5 linked regions of the Xenopus tropicalis genome follow. The protein of the gene in region 5 purifies or fractionates together with the protein of the main gene of each other region. This does not show direct contact. Links are inferred from orthologs where the notes say so. Each region holds a gene or a part of one and is shown on either strand. Other genes may lie near its edges.

What was found.
Region 1: the proteins of cops3 (region 5) and dcaf11 purify together in Homo sapiens (affinity purification with mass spectrometry; 3 studies listed by BioGRID and IntAct, counting the BioPlex papers as one, with this or other methods). This does not show direct contact. The link is inferred for Xenopus tropicalis from reciprocal best matches to the Homo sapiens genes COPS3 and DCAF11.
Region 2: the proteins of cops3 (region 5) and ddb2 purify together in Homo sapiens (affinity purification with mass spectrometry; 7 studies listed by BioGRID and IntAct, with this or other methods). This does not show direct contact. The link is inferred for Xenopus tropicalis from reciprocal best matches to the Homo sapiens genes COPS3 and DDB2.
Region 3: the proteins of cops3 (region 5) and dcaf1 purify together in Homo sapiens (affinity purification with mass spectrometry; 5 studies listed by BioGRID, with this or other methods). This does not show direct contact. The link is inferred for Xenopus tropicalis from reciprocal best matches to the Homo sapiens genes COPS3 and DCAF1.
Region 4: the proteins of cops3 (region 5) and btbd2 purify together in Homo sapiens (affinity purification with mass spectrometry; 3 studies listed by BioGRID and IntAct, counting the BioPlex papers as one, with this or other methods). This does not show direct contact. The link is inferred for Xenopus tropicalis from reciprocal best matches to the Homo sapiens genes COPS3 and BTBD2.

What each region holds. Positions count from the first base shown.
Region 1 is NC_030677.2:139,466,757-139,470,275, forward strand, and holds part of dcaf11 (DDB1- and CUL4-associated factor 11), read right to left. Parts: intron 3,144-3,519; coding exon 3,088-3,143; intron 3,015-3,087; coding exon 2,914-3,014; intron 2,533-2,913; coding exon 2,386-2,532; intron 1,085-2,385; coding exon 1,030-1,084; intron 897-1,029; coding exon 828-896; intron 1-827. UniProt on the Homo sapiens protein: May function as a substrate receptor for CUL4-DDB1 E3 ubiquitin-protein ligase complex.
Region 2 is NC_030680.2:15,447,847-15,450,601, reverse strand, and holds part of ddb2 (DNA damage-binding protein 2), read right to left. Parts: intron 2,507-2,755; coding exon 2,318-2,506; intron 2,242-2,317; coding exon 2,096-2,241; intron 1,564-2,095; coding exon 1,464-1,563; intron 1,320-1,463; coding exon 1,142-1,319; intron 1,063-1,141; coding exon 917-1,062; intron 1-916.
Region 3 is NC_030680.2:127,315,021-127,318,539, reverse strand, and holds part of dcaf1 (DDB1- and CUL4-associated factor 1), read right to left. Parts: coding exon 2,333-3,519; intron 2,223-2,332; coding exon 2,024-2,222; intron 1,316-2,023; coding exon 1,233-1,315; intron 1,127-1,232; coding exon 1,042-1,126; intron 1-1,041. UniProt on the Homo sapiens protein: Acts both as a substrate recognition component of E3 ubiquitin-protein ligase complexes and as an atypical serine/threonine-protein kinase, playing key roles in various processes such as cell cycle, telomerase regulation and histone modification.
Region 4 is NC_030677.2:102,967,057-102,971,146, reverse strand, and holds the start of btbd2 (BTB/POZ domain-containing protein 2), read right to left. Parts: upstream 2,808-4,090; 5' UTR 2,431-2,807; coding exon 1,964-2,430; intron 1-1,963.
Region 5 is NC_030685.2:15,774,607-15,778,125, forward strand, and holds part of cops3 (COP9 signalosome complex subunit 3), read left to right. Parts: intron 1-429; coding exon 430-609; intron 610-1,470; coding exon 1,471-1,611; intron 1,612-2,093; coding exon 2,094-2,267; intron 2,268-2,377; coding exon 2,378-2,464; intron 2,465-3,120; coding exon 3,121-3,234; intron 3,235-3,519. UniProt on the Homo sapiens protein: Component of the COP9 signalosome complex (CSN), a complex involved in various cellular and developmental processes.

The sequences.
Region 1 (3,519 bases), on a different chromosome or scaffold from region 5:
GTGCTTCCTACTTTGTGGCAATAGTCTGGGAAGGCCCTTTTGGCCCTGTTTCAACACAATAATGTCCCCATGCAAAAAGTGAGGTCTGTACAGCGGTGGTTGGTTTGCTGTAATGGGGATGTTGGACATCATCACAGAGTATCTACTGCAAAGACTTTTTATTTCAATTACACATTCATTAAGTAATGCATTCATTTATAAGCTGGTTTCATGACGTAACTACCAACAATTTCAATTACACACTCCCAATTACATTATATTGTATATGATTGCTCATTTTTATCTAGATGCTAATCAAAATTATTTTACCCACAATGCACCCATAAGTCCTGCATCAATGCATCCACAGCAATTTGCATATGATGCAGTAATATAAAAAAAACTAATTAGAATCTGTGTTTTTAAATGACATTGTATACTTCTTGTAGCACCATCAACAACAGCCTTGAGGTCCCCAAACACAGGCCGATTATAGCTTCCGATATCAGTCCCTTGGCCTGGCCGACCGATATCTGGCCCAGGGCCAAACGATCGAATTCGCCTACATGCCTTCCCAATATCGCCCACCCGTAGGTGGGGTTATCGGGTGAAGATCCGCTCGCTTGGCGATGCCAGCTTTAGTGTCCAAGTAGCAAGCGAACTCTACAATTACTGGCAGGTAAAGGCTGCTGGTTTACAAGTCTTTTGCATCCATCTATGCAGTTCATTAGAGTAGGCTGAGCAGGTACACTGGTACCCTTGTGAGAAAAGCTGCACACAATTTTGTGTATAAATAAAGCCCAAAGGCAATATCACTAGTCAACCAAGCAATTGTCGTATATACTTACCCTCCCAGAATTTCTCGTCCATCAGAAGATACAGTGAGAGAAAAAACAGCAAAACGACGCTCTGAGGGGCTATAAAAAGAATTTAGTGGCAAGGATGAAAAGAAAAAAAAAGCAGACACAGAATGGCACAAAACTGAAACTGAAGTGGGTTAAGATAACAAAATATAAAACTACTAGTGGACATTTTTCTCACACAAAGTACCTCAGATCCAGGGCAGTGTGCGATTCAGTATCTCCATATATATTACAGATATGAACTGAAATCAAAGGAAAAAAATCAGAATAATATTAGTGTTACTGTTAAACTTCTACAATATAATTATATATTTGATGCATAAATGAAAATAATATTTAGTTTTCAATATTGAATAATGAATTCCAGCTAGGATTGAAATCTCTGAATCTGAATATCATAGTTTTATAGTGCATCCTACAGCACACTAGGTGGTACACAAACTTTGCACAAAACATATTTATTACACATAACATGAGAACGTTCTAAAAAACACATGTAAAGTATTGCTTTCCAGAAGTCAAAGCTTGCTTTGGATTGAATGCATGGGATCCCTTATCCGGAAACCCGTTATCCAGAAAGCTCATCTCCCATTTTACGGAAAGCCCATCTCCCATTTTAATCAAATAATTCAGAATTTTAAAAATGATTTTCTTTTTCTCTCTAATAATAAAACGGTTCCTTGTAATTGATCCCAACTAAGATTTGAATAATCCTTTTTGGATACAAAACAGTCCTGTTGGGTTTAATTAATGTTTTATTGATTTTTTAGTAGACTTAAGGTACGGAGATCCAAATTACAGAAAGAATCCTTATCCTGCATACCCTTGGGTCCCGAGCATTCTAGATAACGGGTCCTATACCTGTATAACCAATATAAGTGATGGACTGTCTACACCATATTAAGATTGCCCCGCTGAGCTGACATTTTCTCTTAAATAGAATCAATTGTAGCATACATGCATTCCCGTTATTATTTTTACAACCCAATTTCCAAATAAGTTGGAACACTGTTTAAATTGTAAATAAAAAGACAATGGGATGGTTTGCAAATCGCATTCTGTTTTTATTTATATTTTACACAGCATCCCAACTTTATAAAAATGGGGTTGTATTATTACCAATAAACCACCAACATTTCACACAGAGCTGTACAATAAATAGGTGCATACATTAAACAACCAGAATACATACAAAAACACAAAAAGAGGTAAAGAGGGCGCTGTCCAAAATACTTACTTTCACACTGCATGTTAATTGTATGATTGGTAGTTGTACCCAAACACAAGTTTTAGCATTCTTATTTAAAGTGGATAAATATCCATATAACAATGTAAAATTGCTCATAGTGCTCTTCTAAGGGCAAAGGCACACAGAACATATGCTCTGCTTCTCTCAGCACTGTGTTTTTTCCATCCGGGTGAGAGAAGCGGATCTGCTTCCCTACACTGCTCTGTGTGCCTGCACTGAAAACGACTGTGAAACCCATTGCAGCCACTGGTGTTTTTCCGCAGTGAAACCTTTTCAATCATCACTAATACTCACTGTAGTCTGACCAGCTGGAGTACAGAAAATGTCCTCCATCCGGGGTAAATGCCACATCCAAGACACTCCAGCCAACATCCCGAGCCTTAACAGTGCGAAATTTCTTAAAGGCACCATTTCTACAATCATATAAGCGGATGTTTTGATCTAGGAGAAGAAATCTAGAGGTTACCAGGCAGTATAGATACATTTTAATTTATAAGAGCTTAAAATAATGAAGAATAAAGGGACCATAGAACTATGGGACATGGCATTCCTGTAATTAAGAGCTTTTAAAGTTTACAGATAAGAGATCCCATACCAGTAGTCTAAAAAGCAGAGATGACAGGGGGTTGGAAAGCCAAATAAAAAAAACAAAAAAACACCCCAATATAAAACAAATGATTAGGAGAAACAAATTGGGGTTGTAAATATAAAGTAAATGAAAGAAGATGTATTCAAGAGTATTGGGATATTAGTAAATATGATAAGATATACAAATGGTAAGAATATGCTGCAGCACCTGTAGAGGACAAAGTTGCAACCTACCCTGACATGCTGACATAAAGACAGATCCATTGGGGGAATACACCCCACAGAAAGCCTTCTGGGAGTATGAGTCTGTGGCACATACATGATTCGGGAGGAAACTAAAAGAAGACAGAAAGACAGTTATCATGACAAATAATCACCCATCAAACACACAAGCCCCTTGATACTCACTGAGATGTTACACGACAACGCTCTCCCATAGTAAATCCACATCCTGCCCGCTCTCTCTGCATACATAAGAAACAATGACAATGGGGGGAAAATTTACTAGCATTGAAAATCTATAGGTTTAAAGGTCCTGTCCTTTCCCAGACTTTTTTGACAGTCCAACTGCTTTATTTTCACGTACCGGGCAATTCTATCACAGAATAAAAATACACCAAAACAGTATGGATAACTTACACAACTTATGGATGTGCTAAATAATGCAAAATTGCTCCCCTTAGGTGACCATTCACATAGTACTTGCACAGTGATGCACAGTGCGAAGTTTACGCCTTTGCTTGTACACCACAAAGGAGCCAAATTAGCCTTCTGTCTTTAGGTGACCCTGATTTCAGCCGCAAAATGGCCTGTTGTTAAAAAGAAGTAAACATTTTTTTC
Region 2 (2,755 bases), on a different chromosome or scaffold from region 5:
GAGGGGGTTCTGTGCCCATATAAAGGCACAAGGCTGCAGGCTGAGTTATACAGGGAACTCTGAGTATCACTCATGTATTATAAGGGATAATGTACCCCCTACTGTAAATGATAAGGATATTAGCAGTCACTGAGGGGTTCTGTGCCCATATAAATGCACAAGGCTGCAGGCTGAGTTATACAGTGAACATGTACCCCCTACTGTAAATGATAAGGATATTAGCAGTCACTGAGGGGTTCTGTGCCCCCCATATAAAGGCACAAGGCTGCAGGCTGAGTTATACAGGGAACTCTGAGTACCACTCATGTATTATAAGGGATAATGTACCCCCTACTGTAAATGATAAGGATATTAGAAGTCACTGAGGGGTTCTGTGCCCATATAAAGGCACAAGGCTGCAGGCTGAGTTATACAGGGAACTCTGAGTATCACTCATGTATTATAAGGGATAATGTACCCCCTACTGTAAATGATAAGGATATTAGCAGTCACTGAGGGGCTCTGTGACCATATAAAGGCACAAGGCTGCAGGCTGAGTTATACAGTGAACATGTACCCCCTACTGTAAATTATAAGGATATTAGAAATAACTGAGGAGGAAGCATGTAAAGTGATTAGGCTACAAGCTATATGGAGCAAGACGAATATCCTTGGGGTACTGGCACTTGGGGATATTAGTCAACTGCGATAAATCTTCGCTATGCTTTGCCATTCCCCATAGTTTCCTTGCCAGGCAACTCTGGGTGACTTAAGAGAAACAAAGTGCCCTGTTTTTCCCACCTGTTTTTCCCACCTGCGGCCGACTAATCTCCCTGCGGGCCAGGATCCTTACATTTCACAGTACAACTGACATATTTAAGTGCTGTACTTTAGGATATTTTATAGATGAATGCTATATTTATATAGCTTTATATACCTTAATTGCAGTCAAATGTTGGAATTGCCGGTGTGGATGAGGTATTATGTGCTGCGGTTTGGCCCAATCACACGCAGAATAGACACGGATCTCACTGTGCTGATCGGTAGTGAGTAGCTTTGCCCCATCCCAGGGGCTAAAATAAGCTGCAATAGAGAGACCACCATGAGTCACAAATGGCCACGATTACCTGTCAGGATACCGGGTGTAGGGAACAGCGCTTACCAGAGTTGACGCCACGTGCATGAGGCAATGTGTACAGGTAGCTGGACTTGTCTTTGATATTGCGCAGGTCCCACAGCTTCACGGTCTGATCCACAGAAGCGGACGCCAGCAGCCAATCACAGCGAGGGTTAAACTCTACATGCGTCACTTTCTTTTTGTGAAGCCGTAACTTCCAGATCTGAGAATAAAGGTGCCAAGGGTCAGTCTCCCGTGCCAAGGGACCACTTTCATTCACCATGATCAGTATAGGGTTGGAATAAGGTCTCTGCCCCAAAGAGCTTACAATCTAAAAACAGGAAGTCCAGGGCTGGACAATACCCACCTCCTTCCCACAGGTCTCCAGGAGGACCACGTTGCCTACATTATCCCCCGTGACCACACACTGCCTTTCAGCGGAAACATCGAGGCTGCAGTACCACATCCTATGGAAGAACCAGTGGCAGTTAAACCAAAGGCCAAAAGCCCCAAAACTGCATGTAAGCACCCCTAGTTATATCCATGTGCCAGGTTTGGAATGGGCCATTAACAGATATAAAAAGAATATTTATTTTTGTGAAAATGATGATATTCCATGTTAAATGGGAAGTAAACAGTTTTACAGTGTATCCTGCTTCCTTTCTTTGGACTGGCGACTTAATTATCTATGCATACAGGATCAACCAGTCAGGAGCCTGTATACTAGATAATTATATGTGCCATACTGTGCATGAGGGGGGGGTTCAGCTCACCCTATCTGCAGCAGCTAGTAATCACATTTAAAAAGGGCAATGGCACATTATGCTCACCACTATTTCTAGCAAGGATCGTATTTTCTATATAGGAACCCAAGCCCCTTGGGTGGTAGCTTCAGAGGGAAAGCCCTTGGGTACCAGGACACTACAGCCAATTAAGCAATAATTCCGCCCCCACTGAGGGTCAGTACTCCCGCCTACCCCACAGAGCCATCTCGCTTACGCCCAGTCCTCAGTGTTGGTGAATGTCTGAATATTGCGCCCAGAGAAGTCCTGTAGCACGGTGCTACCCGCCACTGATGAGGTGTACAACTGATTAGGGTTAAACGGGTCGAACTTCATTCCGGTGATGCACCCCCCGGCTCCAATCTGCAAGGATAAAAACACAGCAAAGTTGTAGCCATGTGCGAGAGGGATCCAGCGGGGCGAGAAGAACTGGACTCACCCCAGGAATGAGGGTGTTATTGAGCTCTTCATAGTCCCACAGAATGATGTCTCCTCCTTTTGATCCCACCGCCACTGTATTCGGGTGCGTAGGGTGCCACTCAAGAGTGGTAACTCTGCGATCAAAGGGGCTGTTGGTCCGATATAATATGTATGAAGCCAGGGACCGGAGAAAAGGGGTTTGCAGGTACTGAAAAGAAATAGGTGAATGCATTAATAATTAAACCAACCTGAAGCTCCTCCATTTTTAGTCCTTGCAAAGAAAATATTTAATTAGCAGTATGCAAACCCTATTCCCTTCACCCTTTGTTATGATAGCTTTGTTAGCCAGGGAATTATCAATGCACTAATCTAATGATCTGCCTTGCAAGGACCAAACATGGAGCAGCTTCAATTTGCCACTGCCCTAAATATGAGGGGTGCAATTTAATATAAAGCG
Region 3 (3,519 bases), on a different chromosome or scaffold from region 5:
GTTAATTTCTCCCTTGAAATTGCATATTCAAACAGACAACATTTCACAAATCTAAAATACTGTTAAATTAGATTTGTATCACTCTGCACAGGAAGTAGTGCCAGACTGACAGGAGACACAGCCAATAGGAGTTAAGCATGCTGCCAGTACTATGTGTGATTCTGAGACGAATCTCTCTTCAGCTGCACATTTCTGTTAACTATGTATATGACAAAGATAGTTCTGTTAACTATTAGATTTGTGAATGTTGTACAAAGGTGAAAAACCCCTTTAATGTACTAAATAATTTCATATACTATCCATAAATCAGAGCAGACTGGCAACTAAAGCTCCTGGGAGGTTTTTAGCTCACAACAGCCTTGGAGGCCTTAGTTGCTTATTTTATGGTTCTACAATAGTGAAATAGTCCAGGGCATTAGATAACGTTGTAATTCAAACTTAGGGGTTGATATAAGCTGGCCATCTACATGAGCCCACCATGTAATATGATAATAACCCAAGCAGTCAAATGAGCTTTTCTTCTCTTCTACATTGAACTCTACTATAACATTTGCTGTGAGCCGGTCGGCTCCTAACAATGCAATAATATACAGTCTTCTTCTGAATGTTTGGCTTCTCCTAGATTTTTACGTTTGAAAGGTTCAAAATCTGCCATAGAATATATGTTGTATTATATATGGTATATACACGTTATTCTGTATTCTGAATTACAAGTAGGCCATCTCCCATAGACTGCAGTTTAATTAAACAATTTACATTTTTAAAAATAATTTCCTTTTTCACTGTAGTAATAAAACAGTATTTGTACTTGATCACAAGTTCACAACTAAGATATAATGAATCCCTATTGGAGGCAAAATAATTCTTTTGTGTTTATTTAAAGCTAAATTTATTTTTCAGTAGACAAGGTAAGGAGATCTACATTACAGAAACTTATTTAAAAAAAACCCAGGTCCTAAATATTCTGGATAGGAGGTCCAATACCAGTACAACAAAGATTGGTTGAGAGCTAATTCCACAGCCAAAAAGGTAAATACTCACATGAGCCACATCTTCTTTTGTGCCAATGACACGATCCTGTGAAAGTTTGCTGAATTCAACATAATGATCCTCAGTAAATGAATGCCTAGAAATGAAAATGTAGTTGAGATTAAAAACTGCCCCTAAAGATGGTTGTGTTTTTAAACAGGAGCACTTTTTCTAAGGACTATTTGTTAACCTAGCAAACTCACTTCATTTCAAATACAGATTTCATGCTCCAAAGTGCTGAGAGAGGTTGGCTCCATGTGGCTGCAGTTAGAAGAAGAGACCCATCCTGTGAGAGAAGGACAGGAAAGGTTGACTGGGAGTTTAAAGGAGAACTAAAGCCTAATTAAAGAAGTAGGGCAGAAATATTGTACATTATGTTTCTGGCTTCTGCACCAGCGCGTGGCACCCACAGCCCTTTAGCAGGGAAGATCTGTGCCCCCAAAGATGCCCCCAGTAGCTCCCCATCTTCTTTGCTGATTCACTATACATGCTCTGTGCTGCTGTTAGTTACTGAGCTTAGGGGCTGATGCACAATATACTGTATATATAGAAAATAAATGTCATAATATAAGGCTGATTTAGAAAAGAATACATATAATTACTACATGGCAGCTCTGAAACCAGTGCAATTAGCATCACAATTTAATAATCAGCCCTGTATCATCAGCTTATATGACAGCTGAACCTCATTTTCTGCCTGATAATTTGCGACAAATCCTAAGCTTAGCTTCTCAACAGCTGCTAAGAGCATACGGAGCATGTGAGTGTCAAAGACACTTCCGAGTTAGGGAGCTCCTGTGACAAGTTTTAAAGTCTGGTCATGCTTCTATAGAGATGCTGAAACTTTAGGCTGTGCAATATATTCAGTATATAAAATATGGCATTTTTATCCATATTCATTTTTAGGTTTTAGTTCCCCTATAAAAGGAGAGACTGAAAAAGTGAGATGCAGGCCAGGCAAAGGCAGGGAGGTTATTAACTGAATGATGCTTACCCGAGATGGCTCCAAGTGTGTTATTGCAGAGATATGGCAATTGTAACTAGCTTCTTCCTGCCCACTAAACACGTTGTATAGTTTCAACTGCCCTGTGCACGTTCCCAACATCAGAAAGCGCTCACGTGCAGAGAATGCACAACAGGTGAAACCACTCTCATCTTCATTGGTTTCACGAAACACAGATATTGGACGGAACCTGCCAACAAGGAAGATAACATTAGACTCTAAAAGCATTTGTTCCAGGTTTCCCTTGAGTCTTCTCAAAACAAGAAATTCCAAACATAATTATGTGGTCCCCTACATTACCTGCTGAATATTAGATGTCGGTCAAAACAGCCCCCATCTACACCTCCATATTTGGGAAAGGCAGCACGTCGGGTTAATCTGGAAGTGCAGTTTGTAGGGGCTTGCCTGCGTTGTTTAGGCTCTGGGCACTGATGTGGAGTAAAGAGGGAGAAAGGGGGGCATATAGCAACTGGATTCTTGCAGCGTGCATGCTGTTCTCGCAGATACTCAGTCATAATGCTGTCCAGAGTGGGAGGAGACGGCACATGTCTTTCCATTTGCTTTCTGAAGGCAGGGCTTTGGCTATAGGCTCCATGATCTGATTTCTGCCGCAGAACACGCCCCCTCTTTCCATTACAAGGTGACTGCCGTTCTCGAGCAAAGCTGATACGCCCAATGAGTGGTGAGCCTGTGGATACTGGGGCAGGAGATGATAAAGGTGGTGGTAACTGAGGTCTTGAAGAAGGAGGGTGAGGGCACAGTGCTGTACTTGAAAGTCTAGCAGGGATCCGTGGTGTGCGTGGCAGAGAAACAGGTGAAGAAGTAGTGGGTGGTTGGGTAGCAGTGGCAGGCAGGTAGGTAGAAGAATGCAAAGCAGCAGTCATAGGTAGATCAGCCTCTCGCGTCAATGTGGCCACAGTTTCCTGCAATCCCTTGGATACCAGGTGATTCCGTATTAGTAGCAAGAGTTCTTTTTCAGGGAATGTAATACGAGATTGTGCTACTACATCTGCCTTTTGCAGGCGTGCAAGAGACACATCACTTCCCATTAGCAGTGGCTTCCCAGACACTCGCTCAATCAACTCGGCTGCATACTTGCAGAACCGCACATGCTCACTACGCTTGTCCTGGAGGATTGGCTCTTTCATCAGCTGCTGGATCTGGCTGCTGCTGAACAGGGGCAGCTTTGAAATAATTTGTCGAACTGAAGTGCTCCTGCTTAGGCCAACTAGTGCCTTGCAAGCCAAAGCCCTGATCTGATCGGCATCCGTGATGGGCATTTTAACAGACAGCAAAGACAAAAGAACTTTGATACCATTATTAGATTGGACAACATTCCACATCTTGGAAAGTGTAGGCTCTCCACGTCCGTGATGATGGAAGGTCGGACAAACAAGTCCCCTTCTTCGAGGTGTCCCAGAGACATACTTGCCAATGCTGGAGACTCGCGTTTCAGGAGCACAAACACAGTTGATGATAATCTGAAG
Region 4 (4,090 bases), on a different chromosome or scaffold from region 5:
CTACTCGCCTGTTAACACATTGCATGCTAAGAACTTTACCAGGAGCCCCTCTGGTATTTACCAGAATCTACAGATTTCCAGTCTGGGCCTGCACAGCAAGCAATCACAACTGACTACCAGAGAAGTTTGGAACAAAAAAACGCAAAAGTATGAATTTATTGCTATGGATAAAATGTACACCTGTTTTATGACTTCACCCTTGAAGTATTCCTTCCATCATTGCCTTTAATTGTATTATACCACTGTCTTCCAGCTGTTTCCATATTGTGGACCAGCTAATCACTATACTACATGGTTGAGGGCCAGATCATAATAAAATAATGACCTACAAAGAGGTCAATAGAGGTGTTGAGCAGTTTGGGGGACATGAAAAAAAATCACATTCACCCTGTGTGATTTTTTGGACAACCAAATATATGAGACTAGTGAACTACACTTGAAAGGAAACTAAAAGCAAAAATAAATAAAATAAGAGTTAACTTGCTTAGGCTGCTCTACTAAACGTATCTGCAGTTTAAGCTTGGTTAGGACTGGAAAGGGAAATAACAAAATGCACTCAAGCACTAAATTTAAAAAGGTACTTTTTCTGAGGTATGCATGTGACCTCATCAGGTCCCTGTCAGATCCCTGATCTGATAAATATGTAATAGGGGAAAATTCTAGGGAAGCAGATATTCCCCTCTGGCTGTCAATGCAGCTTTAAAATCCCAAAAAGAGAGAGAGTGTGATGCAGAGCTGCTTTTCATTGGAGATGCTGTTTGCACATTAAGTTAACCCAACACAGCAGTTCTAAGAAAGGGCTGCTGAGCTGAAAGCCTGATATTAATATTTTTAAATCTTAAAAAAAAAAAAAACATTACATTTCAAAAGTACTCAGACATCCCCATTAATCAATTTATCTCTAATTTTTCCGTTTACTGGAACAGATTTTAGCAATGTCCACAAATAAGGCTTTCAAATAAGTCTTGCAGTTTGCGAACTTTACTTATTTTAAAGGACACCAAGCCCCAAAATGTTTTTCTAATAAAAGAAAATATGATTCTAAGAAACTTTCCAAAATGAAATTAATAAAAATGTTTCGTACATTAACAGTTATTTGTAAATATAATTGCTATTGAAAGCAGCATTTACTTAACTTCTCGTTATGACTTTTTAAATAATGTCTTCCAGGAAGTCAGGTCTGTCAGTCTGCTGGCTTGGGTTACATTGTTTCAAACGTCAGAGGCACCAGGGCAGAGAATAGAAAGGACTGACAAACACTAATGTTGCTAAATGTTTTACATTATATTTCAATGACTTCTAATTCTTGGTAATTCATCTTTTTACTAGGCTCATCAATAAGTTGCCCTCAGTTGGCACTAGGCAATAAAGGCAGAATGTGGAGTACACACACACACGCCTGGGCATGCACATGTCTCACCTTGATGTGCAAGTTACTATTAGTGAATGTTAGGCCAACATAGCCAAGTTATAATGTTTTGTGCCAGTGTAGTGCAGAGTACCCACTGTAGTTGCACAAAGGCTTACCACTCACAGCTTTGCAATGGGCTTTCAGGAATCCATCAGCCTTGTGTCCTTGTTGACATCATGTCTTATGTCAACAGAGAAGCATACCTCTCCCTCAAAGTTCCCCGTTGGCACACTGATCCTTATGCACAGAATGTTATGTAAATAAATACGATTTAGATTCATCTCATGACACTGCCCTATACAGCAGACCCTATCTATATGAGGCCCAGCATGAATGGCATCAGCCCTGCTTAGGTCTCTTGGGTAACTCTGACAGCACGCAATGAGGATGTGTAAAGCAAACTGCCAATGGCGAGTGGCACAAGCACTTAAGATATATATATATATATATATATTAGCCAATGCCAGTATCAGCCGCAGAGGAATGGCTGACTGGGTCCGTACTGCGCTGGGCATCCCACTAGCCTGTCACTATGCCACCTGTACCACATACCTGTGCGCCGGGATCCGCTGGCTTCCCAGTCCTTTCCCCACAAGGAAGTGGACGTCGCTTAGCACTTCGTTGTTGAAGAGGAAGGTGAACCTTTCCCGCACCGTGGTTTTGGTGGCCTGCCAGTTGTACACGGGCTCCCGGAGCAGGCCAGCAGCAGCAGCAGCAGCAGGAGGAGGCGGCGGTGGTGCAGCAGGAGGCGAAACTCCAGATGCCGAAACTGCAGCAGCTGCCTGATTCCCGGGGGACGAGGCCCCAGCCCCGCCGCTATAGTTGTACGAGGAGGCCGAGGAGCCACCGCGGTTGCTGGGGGCGCTGTTCCCCACCACCCCGGGAAACGACAGGCCGCCGCTCCCACCCGCCGCCATCTTGGATGGGGGAGGCTCCGGTGGGCGGGGGCAGGAGGAGGAAGGTGAGGGAGGCGGGTCCCCGGGGCTGTTTACAAACAGAACCGGGCAGCAACGGCGCATGAGGCGGCAAGGCCGCTGTCTCTATGGCAACCCGATGAGATGGAAAAGAAGAGGGCATTGAAGGGAGGCAGCGTTGCTAACTAGAGGCGGGGCATCGTACATTCATGCGAGCGAGCGCTTATTGGACGAAAGAGTAGAAGCACAACCTCACATATTACTTAATGTTAGCCCAAACCCCCCGTCTGTGCCACATGATGCAATATCTACTAGCTGATTGGTCCTCTGTATCTGAGCGTTCGGGCAGTCCTATGTCACGTGCTGTTGCATTGACTCTGGAGATTCTCGATGGTGCAGTTTTCTAAAGCAGCGAAGTTCAAACTGGAGATCAGAGACACGATTTGACGGATTACTGAACTGGAATGTTTTGGGATGATTATACGCATGCATGGATTGTATCCCTCCTTTAAAGACATGTCATTGATCTCCCAATGCTATTTTTGTTGCAGTTTTCTAAAACTGTTAAAGGAGACATATCCTATAAAAATTAAGAATGTACCAGGGAATTATACTCCTCTAGATATAGAAGGATTGTGCTTAAAAAGTTGTGTTTCTGACTGATTTATTGAGAAATTCCACAAAACCCCCACTAGCCCCGCCCATCTGTGCCACTTCCTGCTGGCTGAATTCTCTGGATGTGCAGGGGAGCTGGCGGCTCTCAGTACACTCCACTGTAGGATAGGAACCAATCAGCACCCAGGCCGACCTGATAGGGAACTGAAGCCTGTCTGTGCTTGTGTGAGGGCAGGGCTGTGATTGGCTCTCCCCCTCCTACTGTGCTTCTGGCAGGGACCTTTAGGACACGCCCACTCTTCATTTCACACTGGACGGATAAGTGATACCATCTATAGGGAGCTCCAATAAAGGGTCCATTTTTTACAGAGAGGATTAATATTTAGCACAAAGTGAAACCAGCACCGTATATTATTCATAATTGCCTACAAAATTAGGGTTTTTCCCATTTATCCAATATGTCTCCTTTAATAATAGCAAATGACATACAAGGTAAATGATTATACAACAAGAGACCATTACTTGGGTGTGAACAACTCAAAGGCACTTAGGTAAAACCAATGCTAGTAAGAACAAATACAAGAAATAGCATCCTAGGAGAACATAGACAAGCTGCCCTATTTTGCCCGCACAGTCCTGTCACCAACACCATGTCATTTGCCCCTGATCAGCGCAGAAACTTGCAGAGAAGGGAGTGCATTTAAGAATTGACCAAGACACACCCAGAACATAAAATGCATATTTAGACTAAAATTATGTGCTCGTTCTCAGAATCTCTTAATTTTGTACAAACTACAGATAATTTGGCTCTATTCAGACCCGTTGTATATTCAATCCTACTTTGTTAATCCACAAATAGCAGAGAGTGTAAGGGATATAAGACAACAGGACCTTTGTAACTAAGCAATAAAGATTGGTGAAAGATTAGTGAAATGCATTAGACATAACTAACTTGTATCCCTAAACTACAGACACGGTGTATTGCAATGTACACAGAGCCTCTTTGCTGCTTGGATCTGGACCCAAGTGCTAGATCATATGGATGTGGTGACCAACTAAGAAAAGCCTAGAAACCTGTTTACTAGGTATTAGCCTTGACAATATAAGGGGTAATTTACAACCTTGGGGGGCATGAGTGCAAGCACACTAA
Region 5 (3,519 bases):
CACTACACATTAGAACTGCTTTCAGCTAACCTATTGTTTCTTCTACTCCCATGTAACTGGAGGAGTCCCAAGCCGGACTTGGATTTCTTACTATTGAGTGCTATTCTGATACCTACTGGGAGCTGCTATCTTGCTCCCTTCCCATTGTTCTGCTGATCGGCTGCTGGGAGGGGCGGGGAGGATATCCACTGATTACCTAATAGCAGTTGGAATTAGTATTGGTTTATTCCTTATTTCCTTCTCTCTGGTTGTGACTCTTGAAACAATCTCTCCTCCAGGCCTGCTAATTAGCTGGCTTCTACTACATTGGTTCAGGAGTATTTTATTTTAGCTATTACCTATTTTTAGCAAAAACTTGTGCAATTTTAGCATCAGCAAATGTAAAACTGTAGCATTTCACTGTTCTGATTTCTACATTTTCCTTTGTAGCTCTCTCTCTTAGCGAAATGTTTTAAGCCTGCACTTGCGTACCTAGATGTAGATATGATGGATATTTGCAAAGAGAATGGCGCTTACGATGCCAAGCCCTTCCTGTGTTACTACTATTACGGCGGGATGATTTACACAGGCTTGAAGAACTTCGAGAGAGCACTGTATTTTTATGAGCAGGTACAGTTGTTTTTTAGTTTCTGAGGCCTAGCCGGCTCTCTAATGCAGATTGAATGGCGTCTTAAGGTGGCCATACACGCTAAGATCCTTGGTGAGGTCGCCAAGTGAGCGGATCTTCTCCCAATATCCTCACCTACGGGTGGGCGATATCGGGTTAATTCTGTCGTTTGGCCCTGGAGCCAAACGATCGAATTAGAGCGATGGGTATAGGCGTCTGTCGGTTTGGGAACCTCATCAACGAGCTGATGTGGTCCCTAATCCGACGGATTTTTAAACCTGCCAGATTGATATCTTGCCAATTTCAGGCCAGATGTCAGGCAGGCCTGTCGTTAGTGCCCCTACACGGGCCGATAAGCTACCATTTTGATTGCCATCTCAACATGGCATGTGTCCTACAAAGAGTAAACAACATGGCTTTTTCTTCTGCTGTGTGGCATGAAAGGGTTATGGTGGCTTGTGACAAATGGGCTGTTTTATAAACACTGGGCAAATTTGCACCTAGGCAGTAACCCATGGCAAGTAATCAGATGTTTGCTTCAGTTGTTCTGTCTGCAGCTGCTGAATAAATGTAATCACTGATTCGTTGCTATGGGTTACTGCCCAGGTGCAAATTTGCTCAGTGTTTATAAATGACCCCCACTGAATATATAATTGTAGCATCAGTTATGCATGCCAATGGCTGCTCTACGCAGTGTAGCAAGATTAATATGCCACCATAGCACGGTTTATATGGCAGTAACTTGTGCTTAATCAATATTAAGCATTTTTTTCCTGTATAGTCTTGCATTATTAGTAGGTCAAATGGAATGAAATGAAATGTTGTTAACCCCTGTAATGATTTTGCTTGGTTTGTTTCTGCAGGCTATAACTACTCCAGCCATGGCTGTTAGTCACATAATGCTGGAAGCCTATAAAAAGTATATTCTAGTTTCCTTGATACTCCATGGAAAGGTTCAGCAGCTACCTAAATATACCTCGCAAATTGTCGGTAGATTTATCAAGGTAAGCTGGAACTAGTAGATTTGCTTAGATGTATTTTGTTGTGTGAAAATACAGCAAGTTAATTTCTCATGATTGTAAGTACTTGTAAGCAGGGACTTTTGTAACCCTTTTAAATAGTTTTTAATCCATAGAGGTGGGGAGAACAATTACTTTAACTTTTCTTTACCCCTTCACTTTCCCCCTCCTTCCTCACCATCTAAATCTGTAGCCATTGCATGGGCATCAGGCCCCCCCAATCTGGCACATACACAAGGTTTTGGGGTGATACAAAACTTGCCTTAATAACAGTGCCCACAAAATGGTGCCTGCCTGCTTTCTGTGATTGTGTAATTCCAAGACTGAAGGAAACAAGATTTATATAATTTATATAGTGGAAGTGAAGTTGCTTTTGCTTGACAAATACAACAGGTCCCCTTTAATCCTTAATGTTATGTAATTTTACAGACCTGTAGAAATGAATGTTTATTCATCTTCCGTTGCAGCCTCTTAGCAATGCTTACCATGAGTTAGCACAAGTCTATTCAACCAATAACCCAGCAGAGCTGCGGAATCTTGTAAGCAAACACAACGAAACCTTTACCAGGGACAACAACATGGGGCTGGTCAAGCAATGCCTGTCATCCCTCTACAAGAAGAACATTCAGAGACTTACCAAAGTAAGTGCCTTTCACTCCTCAGCGCACAGGGATAAGAACCCTCACTTGTATTGTTTTTATGCTGTGTAGTTTGTTCATAAAATGTTTAACGGCTACCCCTCTCATTGCAGACATTTTTAACGCTGTCGTTACAAGACATGGCTAGTCGAGTTCAGTTGTCCGGTGCTCAGGAGGCAGAAAAATATGTGCTGTACATGGTAAGAAGGGAAATGGTTGCTTCTCCCAACTTCCTTTATTATTGCTGTTAAATATAGTGTGGGCCAAAAGGAAATTGGCATCACTTGGAAGTGTAATGGACAGACTGTGCTGAGCCTCTGTCTAGTTTTCCTTTTTCAATTGATGTTAGACTTTTATTGCATTTATATAGTGAATAAAGTACCCCCTATTGTAAAATACAGGGATATTATAAGTCACCAAGGAGTTCCATGACCTTTATACAGGTGATAGAACTCCAAGGTGACTTCTAATATCCTAATATTTTACAACAGGGGGGTACTTTATTTATTATAATATACAAGTTTTAGTTAGTCATGTGACAGAAATCACTAAGCTCTGGTTATAACTGATTACATCACTAAGCACCATTTGTTAGGATATAATTTACAGTTTGGTCTTAATAGGGAAATGAACAAACTGTATACGATAATGATATTACAGTTATCCAAGTGTGAGGCCTGACAGTCAAGGGGCTATGGTATGTTATCATTGGGGATAGATCCATAAAAGCCTCCATAGGTTTTTCTATCACCTGTAAAGAGAGCTGCCATATTGTACCATAGGTCACTGTCACTGGGTTTGCTGCTGCTCAGATTTAGGCTGTTGTGCAGTCATCTCCTCCTTCTTTCTCCCCCAGATAGAAGATGGTGAAATATTTGCAAGTATTAATCAAAAAGACGGCATGGTGTGTTTTCACGATAACCCAGAGAAATACAACAATCCTGCGATGCTTCACAATATTGATCAAGAGGTGAGACGCATCTTTGTTTCATATAAATTGGGTCATAGTGACAAACTTATTTATTAATGTTTACCCAGTTTTAAAAATAGTCACTACTTGATAGAACTTTACGGTTCCTTTACATTTAACAATTAAAAGATTTTATTTTGCATATTTCATATTACAAACAATTAAACAAGAGAAAAACAAAGTAAAGAAGAAAGGAAGAAAGAGAAAGAAACGGGGGAGGGGAGGGTGAGGCTAAGGTAGCAGTTCTGGTTGTACCGGGTTACTAGTTATCCATATTCACCAACT